Linked DNA regions of Danio rerio. The protein of the gene in region 5 purifies or fractionates together with the protein of the main gene of each other region. This does not show direct contact. Links are inferred from orthologs where the notes say so. Each region holds a gene or a part of one and is shown on either strand. Other genes may lie near its edges.

Region 1 (5,008 bases), on a different chromosome or scaffold from region 5:
TATGTGGCCAAATAATAATAATATAGGGCATGTAAAAAAATTCTAGGAAATATTTTGATCTTATGTGCATAAGTACATTTCTAATAATTGCAAATGAATTTGTAAACTGATATTTTTCCAATATTTTGTAAAAAAAGAGGTGTATATGTTATTTTATATATGTTCATGATATAGACAGATGGGTTGATGGGTTGATGGATGCAGATAGAAATATAGATAAATAGACAGACAGATAGAACTATGATAGATAGACGGATGGATGGATGGATGGGCAGACAAGACGGACGGACGGACGGACAGATATGGATGGATGGATGGATGGATAGATAGATGAATGGATGAATAGATAGATAGATAGATAGATAGATAGATAGATAGATAGATAGATGAATGGATAAATAGATGAATGGATGAATAGAGAGAGATAGATAGATAGATAGATAGATAGATAGATAGATAGATAGATAGATAGATAGATAGATAGATAGATAGATAGATGAATGGATGAATAGATAGATAGATAGATAGATAGATAGATAGATAGATAGATGAATAGAGTTAGATAGATAGATAGATAGATAGATAGATAGATAGATGAATGGATGAATAGATAGATAGATGAATAGATAGATAGATGAATGGATGAATAGATAGATAGATGAATAGATAGATAGATGAATGGATGGATGGATAGATAGATAAATAGATGAATGGATGAATAGATAGATAGATAGATAGATAGATAGATAGATAGATAGATAGATAGATAGATAGATAGATAGATAGATAGATAAATGGATGAATAGATAGATAGATGAATAGATAGATAGATAGATAGATGAATGGATGGATGGATAGATAGATAAATAGATGAATGGATGAATAGATAGATAAATAGATGAATGGATGAATAGATAGATAGATAGATAGATAGATAGATAGATAGATAGATAGATAGATAGATAGATAGATGAATGGATGAATAGATAGATAGATAGATAGATAGATAGATAGATAGATAGATAGATAGATAGATTCCATATATAGAAATACAGACAGATGTTTGTGTGTGCAAAATCCAAACATTAATTATACATCCAATAACACACACACACACACACACACACACACACACACACACACACACACACACACACACACACACACACACACACACACGTCAGGAAGATCTGCTGCTTCAGCTATGTTAGTGTACCTTCAGGAAGCAGACGTTGCTGGGGAACTGGCCTGGAGACTGATGCATTATGGGAGGAGCGGCGATGGGTCCGCGGCAGCGCATGAAGGAGACAGGAAACCTGGGTAACACCAGCTGCAGGTCCATCAGCGGCACCAGCCCCGTGACCTCTGACCCCTCACCTGCTCCCGCCTGCTGCCTGTCCTGCAGCTCCGACAGGAAATGGCGCAGGTTCTGGCGGGCGGCTTGCACCAGCGCGCCATCAATGTCCAAGCCCAGGATGTGGGCGGGGCTGCAGTGTTTGGCGATGGCAAGGGTCACATGACCCGTGTTACAGCCCACATCTAGAACTTTTTTTCCAGAGAACCATTCGGGATTAAAAAGAGCCAATCGTGGGTCGTCGGTCATCGATGGTGTGCGGTAGCCATAGTAACGGCTGTAGGCTCCATTATGGTATTTGCGCCGCGGCCTGCGCTGCTGTTCATGGCTTCGCTCCGCCCCCAAGGGAGGAGCTCCGCTGGCTCCGCCTATAACTGGAGTGTGAAAGGTTTGAGTGTGTGTGATTAGCCGCTTGGTGGGCGGAGTTGGTGTGATTGACAGGCGAGAGTCCGAGCGACTGACAGTTCGTCTGCGCTTCCGATGTTTGGACGGATGGGGCGCAGAGGCGGACCTAGAGAGTAATTGAGGGGCGGAGCTAGACGCAGAGGGGTGTGACTTACGCCGTGGCAGAATAGGTTGCACCACTTCATCGCGGCAATTAATCGAGGTGTTGAGCTCATACGGACGCGGCGACTCCTCGACAGGCGGAAGAACGGCACTGTTCGCAGCCTCTTCAGGATTAGCTACAGGAAATAATGTCGTTTCATTGGTTTTTGACTTCTCACAATCTGATTGGTCGGCAACGCCTGTGGTCGCTCCAGGATGATGGCGGTTGCGGTGTCTGCGTCTGATCTTCATTGGAGAAACCAACACACCGGCAGCCGAATCTCCGCCCCTGCCGCTTAAATTCAGCGGGTCTGTAATATCTTTCGGGATGAGAATCTCCACCGGGTCTCGGTTTTTAGAGGGGAGTGGCGATGATTTGGGCGTTTCGGCATTAAGCGCTTTACTGACCTCCTCGTCCAATAGGCTGTTGAGGTTTAACGGATCAAATATATTCCCGCCCAGCAGGAAGTTAGTAGGAAGCACAGGATCGCATTCAGAATTGGCGCGGCGTCTTCGCTTACCGAGACTCGGATGTTTGAACGCCACGTTCATACTGTAGCGCCGCTTCTGCGCCAGTTTCTGCGTCTGCACTTCAGTTCGAGTTTGTAGGCCATTTTTAATCTGAAAGGGCCCCTCGGCGGTAACCCCATCCTGTGGGGTCACGTGATTGGCTGCGAGTTCGGTTAGCACAATGTTAGCGGTCACCTCATCTTTAATGGTCTGCAGTGGGGACGGCGGGTGGGCCAGTAAACCTGCTGCCCCACCAGCAATAGGAAGCTCACTTTGCACTGACATCACAGTAGACATCCATCAGCCGCTGGAAACACAGAAACACACCATTCAAGTACAATATACAAGATATAAATGTGTGACGCTTGCAGATGAGTACTTACTTGACTACTCTGAGCCTGCTTTCTGTATTGTTTTATGGGCACTGATGTGCTTGTGACCCACGTGTTACATTTGGCTCATCTAACAGCTCCACGGCGCGTTAATTTAACTAACTCCGCCTATGGGCGGGGCTACCGCGACGCTCATGAATAATGCAACGGAAACGCGACTCTCGAAAGCTCCCCCCCTTTCCGACACAAACGCACACGTCCGTTAACACAGACACACACACACAGTACTGAGCGAGATATTTTCTCCGGCTCTCTCGCGCTGAGAGTAAACACGAACGCCAAAAATCAAACAAAAACAGCGCACACGACACACTATGTACACAGACCCGCGCTCATTAGAGCTACGTAAACACACAGCTGCACTTGACTCGCGCTACTGCAGATATGAAAAACACTTTGCTAAAATGGTGCTGATTAAAAATAGACTTTGATCTGTCGAATGTTCATGAGCGCTTGAACTCGCAGTGCTCCATCTCGCCCTGTGGCACAGCAGACCAGCGCGCTTATATATTCCACCACAGACCAAGCCTGACGGACAGTCGCGTCTGCCAATCAGAAAGCGCGATATACGTTAAGGCCCCTCGAACAACCAATGGCGGAGCTTTAAATGAAGGCATGTGCTCGCAGTCACCGCCCCTCCTCTTTTAATAGGTATCCAGCGGACTGCCTGAATTGACCCGTTAGACACTAAATATTATCGTCAAAATCAGTAAAATATAACAAATTGACGACAAAATGCATTTGTTTATTTAACAAGAGTATGTGTTTGAGCAGAATCCCATAATTCTGCTTTGGAGAACGTTCGGGAACTCGAAACAGGCAGTCGTCACATGTGTAAACAACCCCTGTGAGAGTTCTTCCGCGCTGAATTTACGCTTATAACAACGACTAATGATCGGATAACTAATAAAACATGACTTATGTCATATTAGCATTTTATATCGTATGGAATTAGCGCCTCTGCGAGTTTTAAAGAGACCCTCCCACTCTGCTGCAGGAGGAGGAGACTTCTGGGAGATGTAGTCCTTTTGATCTGAACCTGTTGCCAAAAACAAGAAAATAACAGCATAATATGATTCATTATTTTGATTATTGTGAAAGAAAACCCACTTGAGTCAGTGGATTCAGTGTATGCATTATTAAATCATTATTTTTGTTTGGCAGGACTGGTGTAAATGGCCTAAATTACACACATTTAGCTTATTTACAGACAAGAGAGAAGAAGAGATAGCTAACTAAAGGTATAGAAATATATTACAATAAGAGTGTCATATATGTGACCCTGGAACACAAAACAAGTCATAAGTGTTGAGTTTTAGAAAAATAAGCTGAATAAATAAGCATTCCCCTAGGTATGTCTTTTTTAATGCCAAAATGAACTATTTTTGATAACATATGAATAAATTAAAATGACTATTCTGAAATTTGAAGGTAGATAATGGTATTATACACTGAGAAAATCACCTTTAAAGTTGTCCAAATTAGGGTCTTAGCAATGTATTTTACTATTCAAAAAATGAGTTTTGATATATTTACAATATAGACATGTATAAAACGTCTCGATGTATGATGATGATCACTTATACTAATGATTTTTGGCATAGAATAAAAAATAATTTTGACTAATTCAATGTATTTTTGACTTCTCCCCTACATATACACTCACCGGCCACTTTATTAGGTACACCTGTCCAACTGCTCGTTAACGCAAATTTCTAATCAGCCAATCACAAGGCAGCATGTGCCAACAATGCCTTGTTGATGCCAGAGGAGAATGGCCAGACTGGTTCCAGCTGATAGAAAGGCAACAGTAACTCAAATAAGCACTCGTTACAACCGAGCTCTGCAGAAGAGCATCTCTGAACACACAACACGACCAACCTTGAGGCGGATGGGCTACAGCAGCAGAAGAGCACACCGGGTGCCGCTCCTGTCAGCTAAGAACAGGAAACTGAGGCTACAATTCACACAGACTCACCAAAACTGGACAATAGAAGATTGGAGAAACGTTGCTGCTCTGATAAGTCTCCATTTCTGCTGCCACATTCAGATGATCGGGTCAGAATTTGGCCTCAACAACATGAAAGCATGGATCATCCTGCCTTGTATCAGCGGTTCAGGCTGGTGGTGGTGGTGTAATGGTGTGGGGGAGATTTTCTTGCCACACTTTGGGTTTATTAGTACCAATTGAGCATCAACGCCACAG
Region 2 (4,876 bases), on a different chromosome or scaffold from region 5:
AGCTATAGAATTCGAAAATCAGTAGGCAAGAATTACCCGGATGACTTACTACTTCTGGCTAGATTCTGAAGTGCGCATCCCATGCACGCTGCGCTATCCCATAATGCCCGTGAGAGAATTCATGAATGGAAGGGAGGCGATGCAACTGATGCAGGTAGATCACGTGACCACGACAAAATGTCGGATGTAGTACGTCCGAATTCCATCCATACTTTTCACATTCATACAGTATAGAACGTACTTTTCTAACGGCTGAGTAGTACGTTTAAATTCAACTGCAGTACCTACTGAGTAGTAGGCGGTTTCGGATGCAGCCTGTGTCTGTGTGTTTATGTGTTGTTTTTAAATGCTTATCATCAGGGTTGGGCAAAAACATTTAAATATATTTTAAAATAAAATACCAAAAACCATAAGTTTAAGTATATCAAAATAAACTACAAAATACCTCAGCCACAAAATGTATCAAAATAAAATACAGTATTTTTGTATTTTAAAAAATTCTACAAAATATTTTTAAATAGGAACATGATATTTGTTGGCAAACCTTTCATTAATAAGCCCATTTGATCAGTCCCTTCACCATTAAACTGATTCTTTAATACTCAGTGTAAAAACATGATTTCTGAAACTTTCAAAAAATTATCTTTTTTTGCAAATAAACTTTTCATATATTATATCATGTTCCTTCTGTATAACCTGTCAGAAGTTTTTAATTATTAAATGTGCGTTTCTCATGTTGTCACTTTTACATGTTTAGGCATACAGTACATCTTTCTTTTTCATTAACAGTACAGTGCATCTGCAGATCAACTACTGGCATTTGAAACAGCATCGGAATCGCCACTCATTTATTCATTCATTGTCTTTTCGGCTTAGTCCCTTTTGTAGGACTTATTGTAGGACTTATTGTTATGTTGTTTGTTTCAGTGACAAACATTTAGCATCAAAGTATTTTACAATATTTTAAACTACAAAAATAAAAGACATTAATGTATTTTTAATACAAAACATTAAGCCATTTCCATCAACCCTATCATAAATACTGCCCATCCCTGCTTATATTCATTCTAGGTAATTTTCAGAATGCTTGCTTTTAAAAACAGGAGAATGCATATTAAAGCATAATGTTATAAGAAGGCTCTATATGTTTAGGAACATTTATCTTTAAATTATAGAGAATCCAAAATCCATTTTTATTTTCAGAAATGTTGAAAACTTGTAAGCACTGACATTCATAGTATTTGTTTGTCATACTATTAAAGTCAATGGTTACAGGTTCCCAACGTTCTTCAAAATATGGAAAGATCAAGATGGTTTTAAACAAGTAAATTGATTAAATTGGCTGAATTTACATTTTTTGGATGCACATAAATACATAATCGTGAAAAACATTATAATCATTAGCATGTCGTGGAGGTTTTGTTTTGTTTTACAATATAGCGTTTTGTAAGTGGACTGCTTTTTTGTTTTATAAATGGGGATAACGCAGAGGATTAACCTGAGCCCTGGACTGTGCTTTATTATTATTTGTCTCCATCTGCTGACGAAAGAGGGAATTGCCAGAAAAGAGGAGCCATGTACGTGTATCAGCAAGCTCTGTGTCAGACATGTCATGTACCTCTTCGGGCATAAAGTTGACTGTTTTAAGAAAATATTTCACATCCATTGAACATGCGCCTTTTAATCTCTTTTGTGTGATGAACGATTGCGGAATAATTTACTGAGATGAGTACAAATGACGCAAAAACAGAACAAAACGCCAACAATTTCGCGACCAATGGGATTTTTACGTCTTCATTCTTCTAGCCAATAGAAGCACAGAGTGAAAGACCCGGCAGCTTTTTGATGACGTATGTGATCTAAAGCACAAAGCCGCGTGAAAATGGTAAGTGTTGTTATTTAGCAATATCATACAGTAATTTACGTTTAAGGAATTAATAAACGTGCTACGACCATTTGTTTAACATATTTAGGTTTTTTTGACCACTGTGTTCGCGAGAAAGACAAACAATGCTTCATGCTAACAGCTAACGCTAGCTTTCTTCATAGCCAAATAAAACAACATTCTCAAGCAAGGATTATCCCCTTAATTAAATGCCCAACAGAAACAACTCTGGCTGACTCCTATTATATTAAAGTCTTGGTATTTCATTTGCCTGCGTAATTTAGAAAGCAGTGTTATTTGCTGTTGACATTTCTCATTTGGTCTGTTGATAAAACTTGATTCAATCGTTTTATCGATGTCTTATTTGCTGTCCGCCTCATATTTTGAGAGTAATTCCTTCAAATGTTTATTCTCAGCTCTTCTACTCGTTTTTCAAGTCTTTGGTTGGCAAAGATGTTGTGGTGGAGCTCAAGAATGACTTGAGGTGAGTGCTCACCTTTCTTTTACAAATATTATATATATAATTAGAAATTGAATATACATATTTTATAATGTATGTGCCAGCTCGTAAAACTATGAACACATCTATTTTGCAGCATATGTGGAACATTACATTCAGTTGATCAGGTACGGAAACTGACTCCACACGTTTATTAATATAAACAAATATTGGGCGATTTAGGATTAAGTTAATCTTGTCATTTGTTCTTCCCTCACAGTACCTGAACATCAAACTGACAGATATCAGTGTTACTGATCCAGAGAAATATCCGCACATGGTGAGAAATGGATGAAATGAAAATTACACTCATAATCTTGGGTCTAATATCTTTATCAATGTCATGGAATTTTAAAAGGTTCATTTCAGACATTGAAATTTAGGAAATGTTGATATATTTTTGTCAGATTCATGGAATAACAGGGATTTTTTGTTTGTTACTTTACATTTTAGCTTTTCTTTATTAAAATATATTTGATATTTACAGCCATGCAAACCGCAAGTATTTTTTTTTTATATTAAGTAAATTATCATTTGTTGTTCTCATAGTGGCTATTAAATGAATGTAATAAAATGGCTAAAACCATTTCAATATATTTTTAATTTAATATTACAATTTTTTATAAGCACTACAGAAGCCTGTTATGTTCATGTCATGGTTGATATATTGGTTTATGGTAAAAGTACAGAAATTAATACTATGAAAAATCTGAAAATAGCAAGTGTAGGACCAATTTATTTTAAAGAATATTCAAAATAAAATTTTTTTTTGAATACTAAGTCATCTTTATTTTTTGAAATATGCAATAAAATATTTTCAGATTCTCATATAACATTGCTTTGGTTTTATTGTCAAAAAAACTAACTAGAAAGCAAGTGTAGAATTGCAACAGGATTTTTTTTTGTAAACCAACAATGCTGTGTAGTGAAAACCATTATTTAAAACGGTGAAAATACGGTCAACCATTTGATAGAGCAGGCAGCTAAAGGGTTAAAGAGGGAACCCTGATAATTGAATTGATTCCTAAATTAATGTAGATCAGGTTATTAAGTCTGTGATTTATGAATTGTCATAGTGATGTAGGTGCTCAACAAGGAGAACTTTGGTGTATATAGATGACTCTAATATTGTTTTGTTGTAGTTGTCTGTGAAGAACTGCTTCATTCGTGGATCAGTGGTGCGATACGTTCAGCTTCCTGCAGATGAAGTGGACACACAGCTACTACAGGATGCTGCACGCAAAGAAGCTACACAACAGAAACAATAATGTTTATATTTGAGAATAGTTTGGTTTTGTTCCAATGTTCAGAAGCATCATCTGTGGAGTTTTGTTGATTTAAATGTTTTTCTTACCTAAAACATGTAAAGTTTTTTTTTTCTCTTTCATTTTTACGTCATGTGAAGCCTGTTATTGAGGGTGTGATTTACTGTTTTTTTTTTTTTACTTCACAAGTTAGTGGTTGTGTGCTTTTAATGAGTGTTGGTAAAGTTCTGTACTGCATACCAATGACTTTTAGTTAGGTTCACACATTGATGCAAAAATAAAGTATTTTCCTCTGTTTTCACACTTTCCTTTTGGTGGAAAAAATCGTCCATTGTTGGAGTTCAGCTGACAGCATTTTACAAATTATGTTCGTGGAATGCTGGTGTTTTGGTTTAGGCAGGCATGTCCAAACTCGGTCCTGTAGGGCTGGTGTCCTGCAAAGTTTAGTTCCATACCCAATCAGACACACCAGGGCTAGCTAATCAAGCTCTTACTAAAAACATAATTGCAGATGTGTTGAGGCAGGTTGGAGCTAAAATCTCCAGGACACCGGCCCTCCAAGATTGAGTTTGGACACCCTTGGGTTAAGGTGAATGGATAGTTTAGCAGAGGTGTCAAACTCAATTCCTGGAGTGCTGCAGCCCTGCACAGTTCAGTTCCAAGTGTATTGGAGCAGGGTTGGGTTTCAAAGAAGCCCGAAAGATTTAATTACTTTAATCTGGTTGTGCTTACTTAAACTGAACTAAACAGTGCAGAGCTGCAGCCCCCCCAGGAACTGAATTTGACACCTGTAGTTTACAGCCTAGTCCCAAACAAAAAAGTAAGTTGTTTAGAGTAAAAGAAACTCGTAGTTACTGTTCCTAAAATATACCAGTGCCTTTGTTTTGTGTTTTTTAGGCACTTTTATGCGCTAATAAAGTAATCATGGCTTTATCAAAGCGAATGTAGACCACACTACAAAAATATGTTTAGGTGTTTTAGTTCAAAATAAATTGTCATCTACATTTCTATAAGTCAAATGACAAATATGTTAAGTTAAACTGATTAACTTAAAAAAGGAAAGTAATGAAAACATTTGTTGTCGTTTTTACAATGTATGTAATTTATTAAATATTCATATTAGGGAGGGTTACTATTTTATTTTTTTATATAGTAGTAAAGATTTTTTGAGTGTCATTTTGCATAGTACTTTAAACCGTGACAAGCCATGATTTTCAATTTTGATAA
Region 3 (4,895 bases), on a different chromosome or scaffold from region 5:
GTTCATTATTATATTAAAAGATATATAATGCATTAGTTAACATAAATTAATGTTTTCCAGTTATTTTTTTATATTAAATGAAAATTTTATGTTTCAGTTATTTTTATATTAAAGAAGGAAATCACCAATGGCAACTTTATTAGAATAAAGTTTTCTACATTTACCCTCGGCCCACCATCCTCAATCAAGTTTGGCTTTTAGCCCTCCATAAGAAAATGTTTGCGCATCCCTGCTATATTTTAAATGATTTGTTTTCTTAAAATGAATTCACAACAACAACAAAAATAATAAATAAAAAATAATAAATTGTTTCTGAAACTGAATCTTTATCTTGACTGGTGGACTGCTCTATGATTAGGTGTGTAAAACAAATCTGTGTAGATGGTATAATTACGTTAAAATCTCATTTATTACACCATCACCATTCAAAATATGATTTACGCTTCTGTAAAAACGTTTCACTTGGTTAAACTTACAAACTCAAGTTCAGCAGCTGCCTTGAAAATGTGAGTCAACTCAACTTGGAGAGATTCTTAAGATGTTGAGTTTTACAATATATTTAACTAAAACTCAACATCTTACATTGAAACAAAGAATCTCTCTAAGTTGTTGCCTCACATTTTCAAGGCAGCTGCTGAACTTGAGTTTGTAAGTTTAACCAATGTGAAACGTTTTACAGTGTGGGCAATTATTGAGGGCCCCCAAATTTCTTGGGGTCCTAAGCGGTTGCTTGCTTCATCTTTCAGATGAGAAGTTAAACCCAGGTCTTGATTCTCTGTGGTCAATAAAAATCCCATGGCACTTCTCGTAAAGAGTAGGGGTGTAACCCTAGTGTCCTGGCCATATTCCCTCCATTGGCCCTTACCCATCATGGCCTGGCCTCCCAATCATCCCCATCCACCGAATTGGCTCTATCACTGTCTCTCCACCAATACCTGGTGTGTGGTGTCCGCACTGGCACTGTGGTCCTGTGGCTGCCGTCGCATCATCAAGTGATGCTGCACACTGGTGGTGGTGTGGAGAGACCCCCCTCATGATTGTGAACCGCTTTTGGTGTAAGATCTATAATATAAATACACATTACATTACATCATTGGTTAGGTCAGTCCCTGATTCTGATGTAATAGCAACGTAATTCCAGAACCACCATACAATTCCATCAAATTTATTAAACATTCAGTACCTTACGAATATTAACAAGTTTTAATTATTTTTTCCATGCTAGTGTGTAGCAAAACACCGTATAACAACTATTTTTAACCACTACAGCACTTTTATATAGTTCAATCAGCATTAATTCCCATAATGGCGATGTACAATTACAATTAGCGTCTGAAATCATCCCACAACCATTGATTGTACTTTTGTGTAAGTGCCGTCGTCATCATTACCACCAGTGTTTCCATCGACCCCCACTTTGACCCTCAAACAGTTAGCCTTTTCAGCAAGAACTGATTATAATCTCTAAAGTTACTCGTTAGAAACAGTATTGTGCTCTCTTCCTTAGAAACCAGAAATCTCCAGAGCGCGTCATCTGCTGGACAAATACCGCATCACTCCCTCACGACGGCTAAACTTCACATTAATTTGTTTAAACTATAAAATTAACTTCATTAGCACTGTCCATTTGTGGTCTATTTTTAACAGTTTTGATTGATGTAAACGTGTGTAATTGTAAGAAATCTATTTAATTATTTATACGCTTATTTTTATGTACGTGTGTTTGTTTTGCTTCTTAATTAATGTTTAATTATTTGTACTCTTACTATATTTATCTTCTATCATCCCTGGCATTAAAATGTGTGTTCTATTGTCGCGTACTAGTTATTTAAAGCTTATTAAATAAATACTAATTCACTCATGACAGCTTTCGTTGCTCCAACTCCATTAGTTCTGCCTGAAGTTGTGCTCAATCGGTCATCGCCTACTCGAGTCTCTCCGTTATCGCTTCCGGCTCAAGAACGAATGCTTTTCGTTGTAGGAGCTAGCGAACGAGCACCGGAGGATTTAAAAACACGCACCAGCAGAAAAGATGTCCACCGCTCTCGAGAGTTACATTCACCGTATCCTTTAATACGCATCGTGAACAGCACGGCGGTGATGTTGTTGATCGATACCCCGTGTTTTGTTGTTGATTGTGTGTGTTTGAGCGTGAAATGTCTAACTTTATATATATGGCGCGCCAGCAAGTGAATTAGCTTTTGATGATCATACGTCGTTATAATTCACGTTATAGCATATTAATGTACGCACATACATTTCTTGAGCAAAATAGATCAGTTCAAGATGATTATCGGTTATCTGGATGTGATATTAACTTCATAGATGCCTGTTTTTTGTCAAATATTTGAGTTTTTTTTTCTGGACCAATGAAAACGAGTCTTCAAATATTTAATTAAGACATATCATATAACTGGAATATTACTATTTACTGTAAATATTACATATTAATGTGTTCACATCTTGCATATCGGGTAGAAATAAGTATATTTGACTGTTTGTATTCATGTTAATCTATATAGATATAATTTATGTATGTAAAACAATCTAGAAAAGTAAAAAAAAAAATTTACATTTTGGATATAAGTATATTTGACCGTTTGCATTCATGTTAATCTATAAATACATATAATCTAATTTATAAATGCAAAACAATCTACAAAGGTTTTAATTTCTGAAATATTTCGTAAAAATAAGTATATTTGATTATTTTTATTTATGTTAATCTATTTATAGATGTAATCCATATATGTAAAACAATGTAGAAAAGTTTTTATTTCTTAAATTTTGCATAAAATTAAGTATATTTGACCATTTGCATTTATGTTAGTCTACATATAGATGCAATCCAACAATCTAAAAAAAGTTTTCATTTGTTCAATTTTAGTTAAAAGTAATTATATATGACCCTTTGTATTTATGTTAATCTATATATAAATATAATCTATGTAAAACAACCTAGAAACGTTTTAATTTCTTAAAATTGCGGTAAAAATAAGTTTATTTGACTGTTTGAATTTGTTAATCTATAGATAAAATACATATATGTAAAACAATCTAGAAAACTTTTCTTAATTTTTGGTTAAAAGTAAGCATATTTGACTGTTTTTATTCATGTTAATCTATAAATAAATATAATTTAGAAATGTAAAACAATCTAGAAACATTTTCATTTCTTAAATATTTCGTAAAAAATAAGTATATTTGATTGTTCGTATTCATGTTAATCTGTATATAAATATAATCTATATATGTAAAACAATCTAGAAAAGTTTTAATTTCTTGACCATGACCATTTGTATTCATGTAGATAGATAGATAGATAGATAGATAGATAGATAGATAGATAGATAGATAGATAGATAGATAGATAGATAGATAGATAGATAGATAGAGAATATGAATCAGTCAATGAATAAAATACTTAATAGAGATTTTGAACACACATTATGTGTACTATATAAACACAAATCCAGAGAACAAATAAACGCAGTGAGTGACCATGCATACATAAAATGAGCTTGAAATTTCCTTGACTGTGATTTTTTTCAAGGGACTGTTGCTATTGTCACTTCGGATGGCAGAATGATCGTGGTGAGTCTTCCTCGTGTACTTTAAAGGGAGTTATCCACCTTTGTGTTTAATAAAGTGCAAGTCAAAGACACTTTGGGAGTGTTTGACTGTATTAGGAAAATCTAAACATTATCACTTGTAACTCACAGCTCCGACACATATTTTTCATTTGTATTTTTGTTTTGTTTAAATGTCTTTTATGTTTAACTGAGGAGAAAAGTCCCCTAGATTGTGAATAGCCTGAGTGTGAATAAATTAATATTAAAATCTGTGTTTTTTGGTGAACTTACCAATTAATCATTGTCTGTGTGCAGAAATGAAGAAGATCGCTTACTGACTTGTGCTGTTTTTAGGGGACGCTAAAAGGCTTTGATCAGGCAATCAACCTCATCCTGGATGAAAGCCACGAGCGGGTCTTCAGCTCTTCACAGGGGGTCGAGCAGGTGGTTCTGGGACTGTATATTGTCAGAGGAGATAATGTGTGAGTATTAAACTCCTTTCTTGTAATTATGTTTATGTTGTGCAGAACAGTGCAAGGTTTATGATTTTTTTCTTTTATTTGGTTGACATAAATGGGAAATTATTTTGTGTTTAAGGGCTGTGATCGGTGAGATTGATGAAGAAACCGATTCTGCGCTGGATCTTGGAAACATAAGAGCAGAACCACTCAATTCTGTGGTGCATTGATGGACAGAAAATTTCATTTTGATCCAGTTGAAAACTTTCCCTAGGAAATCTGCAGGCATCTATAAGCAGCAATATTACCTGCTTTTTTAATCTTGAAAAAGACTGAATGCATATTTGTTTTTTGTTTGTTTTGTTTTTTACGGGTGTTGAAATAATAAAACAAAAAGTGATAAATCAAGATTTTAAATTTTTTAAAAACTTGTATAAAGGGGAAAATATTGGTAAGTATCCATTTTCTGGATAATTCTCAGTCAAAAACAAAAAAAGTAATAAATTAACAGTAAAAGTAAGATTAGGTCCATCTCCAAAATGCCTATTTTATCACCCAAAAGTCAAAAGAAATTTCCGTATTACATGAAGAAATTGAAAAGCATTTAAAGCCCATTTTGTTTTATTGCATTCATGACGATTTAGCTTATTTCCCACAAAGAAAAGCTCATTGCAGTATCGTAAAAATGACGAAAAAAGACATTAATATAAGTGTATATTATTATAAATAATTTGTAACAGTTATTTAAATGTAGTAATTGTATATAATAATGTGCAATATTGTATTATAACATAATCATGTATTTAAAAATAAACACACACACACACACACATATATATATATATATATATATATATATATATAT
Region 4 (5,103 bases), on a different chromosome or scaffold from region 5:
CTCCATTATAAAACCAAAATTATCCCAATCAATGTAAACTTGCACCATAAAAAGCACTTAGTTTGCTTTACTTTAAAAAAATGAGCAAGCACTAAAATCACTTTTCAAAGTCAACTTGTAGCTTTTAAGGTACTTTTCACTTTTTATTAAAAAAAAAAAAAAGTAAAGCAACTAATAGTTTTTTACAATGTATGAATTCTTTCTAAACATAGGTTATCAAGTTATCTTGTTAAATGATATTTATATTACAATGTATTTTGCAGAAAAACAGAAAAATCTGCCATTTTTTTTCAATATCGTGCAGGCCTATTTCAGTATATTGACTTACTCCTGTTTATATTTTATAATAAAAGTAGAAGTATAGTAATTAAGAATAGTTGTTGTTAATTTTTACATAGATTTGATTTCATATTTTAAACGTCAACCAATATTAATTTCCTTTTTAGTTGATGCAAACTCCACTCTTGCTTTAACAAGTGGAAATAAAACACTGGGGAAAAAAATCAAAGGGTCTTTAATATTGATTTAGACAATAAAATGCATGGAAATCAAAAAGTTTGATAACAAATATCCAAGTGTAAGAAAATGGTGGCAATACTAAAGGAAGGTTTCAGACTAAAAGCCTTAGATCAAGAGCAGGATACAGCAACTGAGGTAAAGTTGGTTTTATATTCGCACATTTATTTAACGACAACTTGCGACACGCTCCCTATATTGTTTCCCACGGTACTTTGAATATTTGATTTGAAATCATAAGTAAGTTTGACATGAAAACAACATAGTACTATCTATTTGACTGTGAACAATGTTGTACTTTTATAGTCATTTGCTGATATGATTTTACTATTTAGAATTTTCAAAGAATACTTTTCTAAAATTATATTATTAAGAAAAAAAGTGAGAATATGTGAATACAGGGCTCAACAATAAGGACTGCCCAATGGCCCGGGGCTAGTGTGCGAGATGCTAGGGACATTAAACAGGACCGTTACTGGCCTAATCAGGTCTTAAAATTAAGAAACTGTTATTTCAAGCCTTTAAATACTACCTTCTCAGTGAAGTTGTAAACACCATATTGCTTTTCGCTTCCTCTTATGTGATTGGATGATGTGAGCATGTTATTTTTTTCTAAAACTTGGTAAAAACCAGTACAGCAAAGAGGCGGCAACTTCAAATTATTAAGCTAAAAGAAAACGTCTGTTTCTAATGTCTTGGGTACAACATGACGAAAAAAATGTGATGTTCTGCACAGTTTGCCGCAAGTTTGGCAAGTCAGCCACATTTTGTTAAATAATTTTAAAGTGCAATAAAATACCTGCACATTTTCTATTATTTTTTTGTTTGTTTGTTTGTCTGCATTACACTATAAATTTTGCTTATTTTAGATTTATTAGCATTAAATGCTACATTCGCAGATGTTATTTTTGACAGAACATTTAAAATATGTGGCTAGGATATTTTTTATTACAGCTTTTCTCAGTCGCTTTTGTGCGTTTCTCACAAAACTAGTGCATTTCTGCACAACAGTTAATGCATTTCTCAAAACAATTAGTTTAAACTGCAAAACCTAGATGATAAACTGCAAAAATGCGTCACATGCTCAAAATGGATAGTTCATTCCTCAAAAGCAAGTATTGATGTTAATCAAAGTGCCAGTATCATCAAAATGAAAAGTCCTGACACCATTGTTTATGAACAAGATAGTCACATGGCTTTGTCCTGTTTTCATGATGACAGTTTACTCTGTACATTTTTTCAATGCAAAAAAAGTCAGATTTTGTTGACACTTCCTGAAAATGCTCAAGACAACACTGCATACTATTTGCACAGCCATTTGAAAACTACAGTAAAGTTAGACATCACTGCATTTAGTGAGGAATCGGAGTACAACAAACTGAATATGTATGTTTCACATTTTAACTGTATATACTCTTTGCAATTCTAATTTATTCACACCATTGTGCAAAAGAATACATACACCCTTATTTACAACAAACAAACTCCCTTTGGGTAGAGTTGTGCACAACTGTACACAATATTGCAAAACATATAGGAACTGAAACTAAAATACACACAAGTCTATAAATCAATCATGAAATTGTTCAATTTTTTAGACATTATCAGGAAAATAAAGATTTAATTTTTTTTATAAAATATTGCTTAACAGATTTTGACAACTAGTTCAACATTTTTGTATGTAATGACTCAAGTAATGAAATGAAAACTATTTGTTTTATATGGAATGACTACTCAGAATTCACAAGTTTAGTTGACATAAGCAGATGATAATGTTATAAATATCAGAGAGTTGTATGAAAGTAATTGATGCATGTCCAAAAGCATCTGCAATGTGTTGGAAGGAATGAGAAACTGCTAATAGGATGTGCACAAATGACTAATTATTTTGAGAAATGCATTAACTGTTGTGCAAATGTAAATAGTGCTGTGAGAAATGCACCAAAGCCACTGAGAAAAACTGTAACTTGTTATATTTGGTCAGACCAGTGAAAAGTTTCGGGCCAGTAAAAAAAAAATCTTTAGCGTTGAATCCTGGAATATAAAACTTACTTTACCTGACACAACTTTATCCATATTTAACTTGCATGTGGCAGTGAACTTGTAATAAATTACAATAAGGAAATTATGTTGTTTTCTTCAAGATTGACTTCCAAACCATCCTATTTTATTACCTCCAACACAACAAATATGATCAGTCCCTTCATGCATACCCTCGATAACTTGTAAATGATAAATGTAAAATACAAACATAAAAACAACCGCATATTTCAGTTTGTACCTCTGTAATCGACACCAGAGTTCAGTTTCACCACCACTGGCCTCCCAATGATCTGCTTCAGGAAATCACTTGGTGTCTGCTTTCGGAGACTCATTTTAGCTGAAAATGAATGACAATGAAGTTTATGAATAGCTCTTATAAAAATGAACCATGGCTGCATTGTTAACAAAAAGGATGTGACAATAACAACAAAACGTACTAAAGACGTTTATTTTAAACCACATAAGGGGTTTCCAGAAGAGGTTTAACCTTATTTGTTTGGAAATTGCCGGTGAACGTTATCGATAAGCGGCTAATTTAGCATGCTAGCATTCCAACCCAACGTATCACTTAATAAACGTGTCATCGTATATCTAGCAAGGTAACTACAGTGCTGCAGTTTTTTAAAACCCCACTAACGTCGAATGCATTCTTATATTAAAGCATACAACATTTAACGTTATTTACCTATGTCGTTTAGCAACGTTAACCGCACGTTTCGACTGAGCGACTGCTGACCAATGAGCTCGTCCGCTTATTCTAGTTCCATGGTGTGTACACCATTCAGCCAACCAGATGCTTCGTTAGAAAGCCAGTGTACGGAAGCCGACAAGATAGCGTTATCTCCTTTGACAAAGAATGCGTAGTGGAAAAAAGAGCCAGATCGACGGTGGCAGTAAAGACGGGGAATCGTCGCTTTTGCTACATTAGGACATAAAATCGTTAGACAAACAGAAGAATGACAGATGAGCTGATAAAAATGGACGAACAAACAGACGTATAGAAACCTAGACTGACAGACAGACAGACAGACAGACAGACAGACAGACAGACAGACAGACAGACAGACAGACAGACAGATAGATAGATAGATAGATAGATAGATAGATAGATAGATAGATAGATAGATAGATAGTCTGTCTGTTTGTCAAAGTATTTTGTGTACATTGTGTATAATAAGCAACTTCAGGTTGTAGTTGAGGTGTGGCTAAAACATGTAGGAAAAAAGAAGATCCTGTATAGCCAAAAGAGAGAGAGGGAGATGGGGAAGAAAAAGCTGTCTTTTGTTCACAGGCAGAGGAGGGGATGCACCTGAGAGACAGAATCATAAAGCACTTCTGGCGCATCCAGACAGTTTGCTTGTTAGCAGGGCATTGGTAGCCCTGAGGAGGCTAGAGGTTAATTTGGTATCTGGTGCTGTGTTAAACTAAGGTCAGCGCTACAAGTCCTTAAGTCATAAACAAGTGTGGTTAAGAGCCGTGTACACACCTAGGCACGAGTTAATGAATATTCAATGAGTATTTTTCCCCTTGTTGCCAGAGTTCACATCCTAAAGGAGGGTTAAGAGAGAAAAATGTGATCTAATGCATTTTCCTATCAAAGCAATCATTCATTTAAGGAAAAAAAGGAAAGAAATTGAACGAGTTTACAGATTTTTCGGTTGTGGCACACAGCACCGGGATTTTCAGTTGTAAACAAATATGGAATATCATGACAAGGAAGCTGACACAAGCACTATGATGCTTTCTTGACTACTGGAAAAGCGTGAATGGCTTGGCTTGTTAAGCGATACTGAATAAAACACAATAGAGCTCTACAGACACAGAAAGCATTTCACAAGCTTTTTATCTTTCAGTTTTGCCTGTTGCTTGGTAGAAGATGATTCTGTCCGTCTCACATAAAGAGGGCATTTTAACCTTAATGTGCTGTCCTTCAAAAAGTTTTCAACTTAACATTTTGTAGACTGATGTGAATGTGCATAAAATTTTGACTGGGAACAAATAAAAAAAGCATTTGCTTTTCCTCAGTCAGCACAGACAATCCACTCTCACCGCAAGCCTGTGAATAACCCCACAGCTCCTATGAAAACAGTAGCGTGTTGGTAATAACCGCCCAGTGATGCCAGATGGGACTGTTTTCACCCTGCCTTCAAGACGCTGGTGAGCTCAGATGGACAGTGGCACAGTTGATTTGCTGGTACAACCCGCCTCACCTTTCTAAGCCCCCAAAGACCTGAGAGGGAGTGGAGGAAAAATGAAAAGATTACAGAGGCAGCTTCACTAGGGTTGGGGGTGGGTCAGGCTGAGGGGTGTCAGATGCGAGGGGAGGGGGCTCCGTCGGTTGCCGCAGGCTGCTTCGAGGAAAGGAGAGTCTAGACTAGGCTGACCTTTGCGAGCCAGGGCTTTCTCTACGGGTCAAGTTGGATATGGAGGGGGGATAATGGAAAAACCTCAAGGGAGTTTTCGAATGAAATCCAGATTGGCTGCCGGCATGTAGTTTTTCTCCTCCCCTTCCCGCTCCCTAATCCCTGCACTGCATGGGGGTAA
Region 5 (4,303 bases):
GTCTACAGAACAAACCATCGTTATAGAAAAACTTGCTTAATTACCTTAACCTGCCTAGTTCACCTTATCAACCTAGTTAAGCCTTTAAATGTGACTTTAAGCTGTATAGAAGTGTCTTGAAAAATATCAAGTAAAATATTTACTGTCATCTTGGCAAATATAAAATAAATCAGTTATTAGAAATATGTTTTTAAAACTATTATGCTTAAAAATGTGTTGAAAAAATCTTCCCTCCATTAAACAAAAATTTGAGAAAAAATAAACGAGTGCTAATAATTCAGGGGGGCTAATAATTCTGGCTTCAACTGTACATTGGATCGTTTTCATGAATGGTCTCAGAATTGTGGATTCCACTGTATAACTAAATTTGTTACAACAGTATTTTTTAACAGCAAATTTACAAGGGAGTTATGATGACCTAAAAGTTTGATATTTTGTATTGTCGAGATATTAAAAACAACGTAATTTTCATGTAAAGTTTCAAATAGAAATCAATAATTAAACCTCATCAGTTCTCTTAATTTGTCTGTTTTTTGGTACAGAACATTGTTTTTGTAAGTAAAAAGTGTGAGAGCCACTTCAGTACAGCAAAAATACCTAAAGATTTCTCATGTTTTCTTTTGACAATAAAGATAGCATGAAACAGTGTTTTCTATTGACTATTGGCTTCAAAGGTTTCATATATTTCCTGGTGCAACAGAATGTTTAATAAGTATTGTGGGGATAATGTTCTTGCTTTATGATTTGATTGGATCAGAAGGGGGTTCTGTGCAATAATATTGGTTAATATAAATTTTTCCCTGACTGCGCACCTTGGTTATATCAGCAGAAAAAGAAAAAATATTCAATTTTTTATATTTAATTAAAAGGTAATAACTTGCTAAATCCGAGCATTTGTTTTTTCCACAGTAAGTGAGAGCTGAGGTTATTTTAATGTCATGTGATCTTGAACCGACTGGTGAAAGGCTGCCATTCTGACTCTGTGTTTTGTTTGTGGGTCAGGTCTTATGGAGATGCTGCTCACTGCAGGAAGGCTCTTCACAGAGCAGTACAGTGTACATCAGACTACCCTGAGCACGTGTGTGATGTCCTGCTCAACTTTGAAAGAGTGGAAGGTCAGCTTATTGAAAGCTTAATATATAGATTGTTGTTTGTGTCCAGCTTTGGGTGTTGATGTTGGTGTTGTTTGACACAGGCTCTCTGGAAGACTGGGATGCTGCAGTCCAAAAAACAGAGACCAAACTTAATAGAGTCTGTGAGCAGAGAGCACGAGTAAGTCCCAAATTGACTTGTATATTTTTTTTATTGAAAATAACAGAAGTACTTCAGTTTCCTATTGTGGCATCAAGCATCAGATATTCTTTTTACGTTTAAAATACGTCTTGCAGAAAGCTTACTTTAATGCTATTTAGCTATGGTTTTACGGGTGACTGGATGCTGTTTTTTTGCAGGTGGCAGAAAAAGAGGCTCTTCACGCCAGACAAGAGGAGGAGAAGGCAGAGCAAAGGAGAAAAGTGAAGGCAGATAAAAAAGCCCAGAAGAAAGGCCAGAAAGCAAACAGAACAGGGGATAAACGGAAAGCTGAAGATGACGATGAGGAGGAATGGGGAGAAGAAGCAGGTATAAATCAAGAGCTTTTAGTGAGAGTTTAACATCTTCATGTCATTTCAGAAGCATAAGAATAAGGGGCAGTTCATACAGAACTCGTTTTCCTTTCCAATGTGCTGATTTTCTATTGTTTCTCAATGTAAACACATTTGACGGATATGTCAGTGTTACACTTGTGCTGAGTGTCTTTTGAAGTATGGACACTCAATTTGTTCACTTAAAAGTAGGCAGTGTATTTAAATTTATATACAGTTGAAGTCAGAATTATTAGCCTCCCTGTTTATTTTTCCTCCCAATTTCTGTTTAACAGAGAGAGAGGATTTTTTTCAACACATTTCTAAACAAAAGTTTTAATAACTCATTTCTAAAGACTGATTTTGTTTATCTTTGCCATGATGACAGTAAATAATATTTGACTAGATATTTTTCAAGACACTTCTATACAGCTTAAAGTTACATTTAAAGGCTTAACTAGGTTAATTAGGTTAACCAGGCAGGTTAGGGTAATTAGGCAAGTTATTGTATAATAATGGTTTGTTCTGTAGACTGTCGGAAAACAATATAGCTTAAAGGGGCTAATAATATTGAACTTAAAATGCTTTTAAAAACTGCATTAAAAACAAACATAATTTGTGAAATGGTTAAAAAAGAAAAAAAAAAGTTAAAGGGGGGTTAATAATTCTGATTTCAACTGTATTATATTGAGGTAATATGCACATCATTGCTATTGTGGGGACAAAATATTTTGAGTTGTTAGGTCTCTAAATTTTTAGTTATTTTAAGAGCACAGTTTAGTTTTTTTTTTAATCTAATGGAGTAAATATGCAATATTGCATGTATCAAAAGAAAAAACATGTTTCAAATGACTACTAATGTATTGAAATATTTTATATTACTTAAAGGGAGAGACAGAATCAATCAAAATTATGCCATCATTAACTCATCATGTACTTATTCCTAACCTGTTTGAGTTTCTTTCATCTGTTGAACACAAAAGAAGATATGCTGAAGATAGCTGAAAAAAACAGCCACTGACTTTCAAACTATTTAAAATAATAATAATAATAAGTCATGTATTTTATAATGACAGTACTCATTGATCAACAGTAAGAACTGTAAATAAGCCAGAATTAACCAAAGGACTTATTTATATAATAAACCTAAAATCAAAAATAGCTTAATACACATCAAATGTTATTAAAGTTACATACAAAAAACTATTAGAAATGAATTACATTATTGTAAAAAAAGAACCCAAAAAATTGCACGATTACACACTTGATTCACTTTTCCTATTTCTTTAGCCCATTTTTAAATGTTGTAGTTTGCAATACCTCTTAATTCAAATGAAAGAGGATTCTAGAATTGAATGGCTCTTACTGAGCAGCCTGATGTCAAATGTTGTGTGCCTAAACTGCACAGCACAGTTACCTCTAGAAAGAAATATCATAAAAATCTATGAAACCACTTTTGTTTTAGTAAATGAGGAAATTCTTATTTATGGTTGTATTTCCCATGTGAATTTCTTTTTGGTCCCTTAATGATTGTGAGTTTTGGCTGAATATACTTTGAAAGAAAGGACAGAAGTTTTATACCTTAAGATCCAAGTATGAACAACGCAGCAGACTTTTCCATTGTATATCACATAATTATTTTGTAAAAAAAAAAAACACATCCAAGAAACGGAAGTCCTTTTTTAATCAAAAGTACATTTCACCTGTACTAACATATCAAAATGTGTGCAGAGCTGCCGTCCAAGAGGCTCAGAGGAGAGGACGACTTTGACAGCACGGTCACGGAGGAGCTCATGGAGACAGAAAGTGGACTTTTCGGCCGCCGAGCTCCACCAGCGCGTAAAACTGAGCCACCTGGTTTTCGAAAGAACCAGCAGGGAGCGCCTGAACCACAGCGACAACCCCACGACATGCCAAAGGAGCAGCGCAAAGATGAAAACTGTGTGTTTGTTAGTAACTTGACCTTTAATATGGAGGACCCTGAAGGCAAGCTGCGAACATTGTTTCAGGGTTGTGGGACCATACAGCAGGTGCGACCTGTGTTTACAGCAAAAGGTACATTTAGAGGCTATTGCTACGTGCAGTTTGAAGACCGACTGGCTGTACCTGAAGCACTGAAAATGGACAGGCAGGAAGTGGACGGGCGGCCCATGTATGTGTCTCCTTGTGTGGACAAGAATAAGAATCCTGACTTCAAGGTGAGAAAGTATACTAGAGTATTTTATGGGAAAGTAAGTCACAGCTGCAATTAAGATGCACGAAAACAAGCTATTATAGTTAAATGGCAAGCTTATTGGTTGGAGAATCAGAAATATTCAATTCGCCAAGTACTATGCTCAGTAATAATAATAGGCACTTAAAAACATCAAACTAAGGGCGTACTCGCACTATGCTATCCGATCCATGCCCAGGCCCGTTTCCTGGATCGCTTGAGAAGTGTGAGTGTTCTGAATCGGGCTCAGGCATTGTTCACTTGGGCTTTGCTGCGGTACGCTTGTGTGTGAGTGTAAAACGGGCCTGAGGCCGAAACTGAAAGCGAGACATGACTTTTAAGGGACTGTTACATATGGATTGATTATTCATTCTTACTGTTCAATGAACACAAACTGTCGCAGGTTATTAAAGAAGCAAACCCCTCACTGCACGACAGCTGCACCTTCAGCAAACCTCATAATTCCTTC

The links.
Region 1: the proteins of sart3 (region 5) and mepceb purify together in Homo sapiens (affinity purification with mass spectrometry; 6 studies listed by BioGRID and IntAct, counting the BioPlex papers as one, with this or other methods). This does not show direct contact. The link is inferred for Danio rerio from reciprocal best matches to the Homo sapiens genes SART3 and MEPCE.
Region 2: the proteins of sart3 (region 5) and smx5 purify together in Homo sapiens (affinity purification with mass spectrometry; 3 studies listed by BioGRID and IntAct, counting the BioPlex papers as one, with this or other methods). This does not show direct contact. The link is inferred for Danio rerio from reciprocal best matches to the Homo sapiens genes SART3 and LSM2.
Region 3: the proteins of sart3 (region 5) and lsm8 purify together in Homo sapiens (affinity purification with mass spectrometry; 4 studies listed by BioGRID and IntAct, counting the BioPlex papers as one, with this or other methods). This does not show direct contact. The link is inferred for Danio rerio from reciprocal best matches to the Homo sapiens genes SART3 and LSM8.
Region 4: the proteins of sart3 (region 5) and lsm6 purify together in Homo sapiens (affinity purification with mass spectrometry; 4 studies listed by BioGRID and IntAct, counting the BioPlex papers as one, with this or other methods). This does not show direct contact. The link is inferred for Danio rerio from reciprocal best matches to the Homo sapiens genes SART3 and LSM6.

What each region holds. Positions count from the first base shown.
Region 1 is NC_133198.1:47,985,068-47,990,075, reverse strand, and holds the start of mepceb (7SK snRNA methylphosphate capping enzyme-like), read right to left. Parts: upstream 3,284-5,008; 5' UTR 2,794-3,283; intron 2,718-2,793; 5' UTR 2,708-2,717; coding exon 1,217-2,707; intron 1-1,216. UniProt on the Homo sapiens protein: S-adenosyl-L-methionine-dependent methyltransferase that adds a methylphosphate cap at the 5'-end of 7SK snRNA (7SK RNA), leading to stabilize it.
Region 2 is NC_133181.1:30,702,104-30,706,979, forward strand, and holds smx5 (smx5), read left to right. Parts: upstream 1-1,806; 5' UTR 1,807-1,882; coding exon 1,883-1,885; intron 1,886-2,301; coding exon 2,302-2,369; intron 2,370-2,481; coding exon 2,482-2,512; intron 2,513-2,604; coding exon 2,605-2,664; intron 2,665-3,526; coding exon 3,527-3,652; 3' UTR 3,653-4,587; downstream 4,588-4,876. UniProt on the Homo sapiens protein: Plays a role in pre-mRNA splicing as component of the U4/U6-U5 tri-snRNP complex that is involved in spliceosome assembly, and as component of the precatalytic spliceosome (spliceosome B complex).
Region 3 is NC_133179.1:10,099,091-10,103,985, forward strand, and holds lsm8 (LSM8 homolog, U6 small nuclear RNA associated), read left to right. Parts: upstream 1-1,872; 5' UTR 1,873-2,032; coding exon 2,033-2,063; intron 2,064-3,553; coding exon 3,554-3,594; intron 3,595-3,926; coding exon 3,927-4,054; intron 4,055-4,169; coding exon 4,170-4,260; 3' UTR 4,261-4,435; downstream 4,436-4,895. UniProt on the Homo sapiens protein: Plays a role in pre-mRNA splicing as component of the U4/U6-U5 tri-snRNP complex that is involved in spliceosome assembly, and as component of the precatalytic spliceosome (spliceosome B complex).
Region 4 is NC_133176.1:39,344,190-39,349,292, reverse strand, and holds the start of lsm6 (U6 snRNA-associated Sm-like protein LSm6), read right to left. Parts: upstream 3,339-5,103; 5' UTR 3,245-3,338; exon of another isoform or gene 3,022-3,244; coding exon of another isoform or gene 2,997-3,021; intron 2,897-2,996; coding exon of another isoform or gene 2,892-2,896; coding exon 2,798-2,891; intron 1-2,797. UniProt on the Homo sapiens protein: Plays a role in pre-mRNA splicing as component of the U4/U6-U5 tri-snRNP complex that is involved in spliceosome assembly, and as component of the precatalytic spliceosome (spliceosome B complex).
Region 5 is NC_133180.1:21,198,749-21,203,051, forward strand, and holds part of sart3 (squamous cell carcinoma antigen recognized by T-cells 3), read left to right. Parts: intron 1-1,002; coding exon 1,003-1,115; intron 1,116-1,195; coding exon 1,196-1,272; intron 1,273-1,451; coding exon 1,452-1,620; intron 1,621-3,353; coding exon 3,354-3,820; intron 3,821-4,303. UniProt on the Homo sapiens protein: U6 snRNP-binding protein that functions as a recycling factor of the splicing machinery. Promotes the initial reassembly of U4 and U6 snRNPs following their ejection from the spliceosome during its maturation.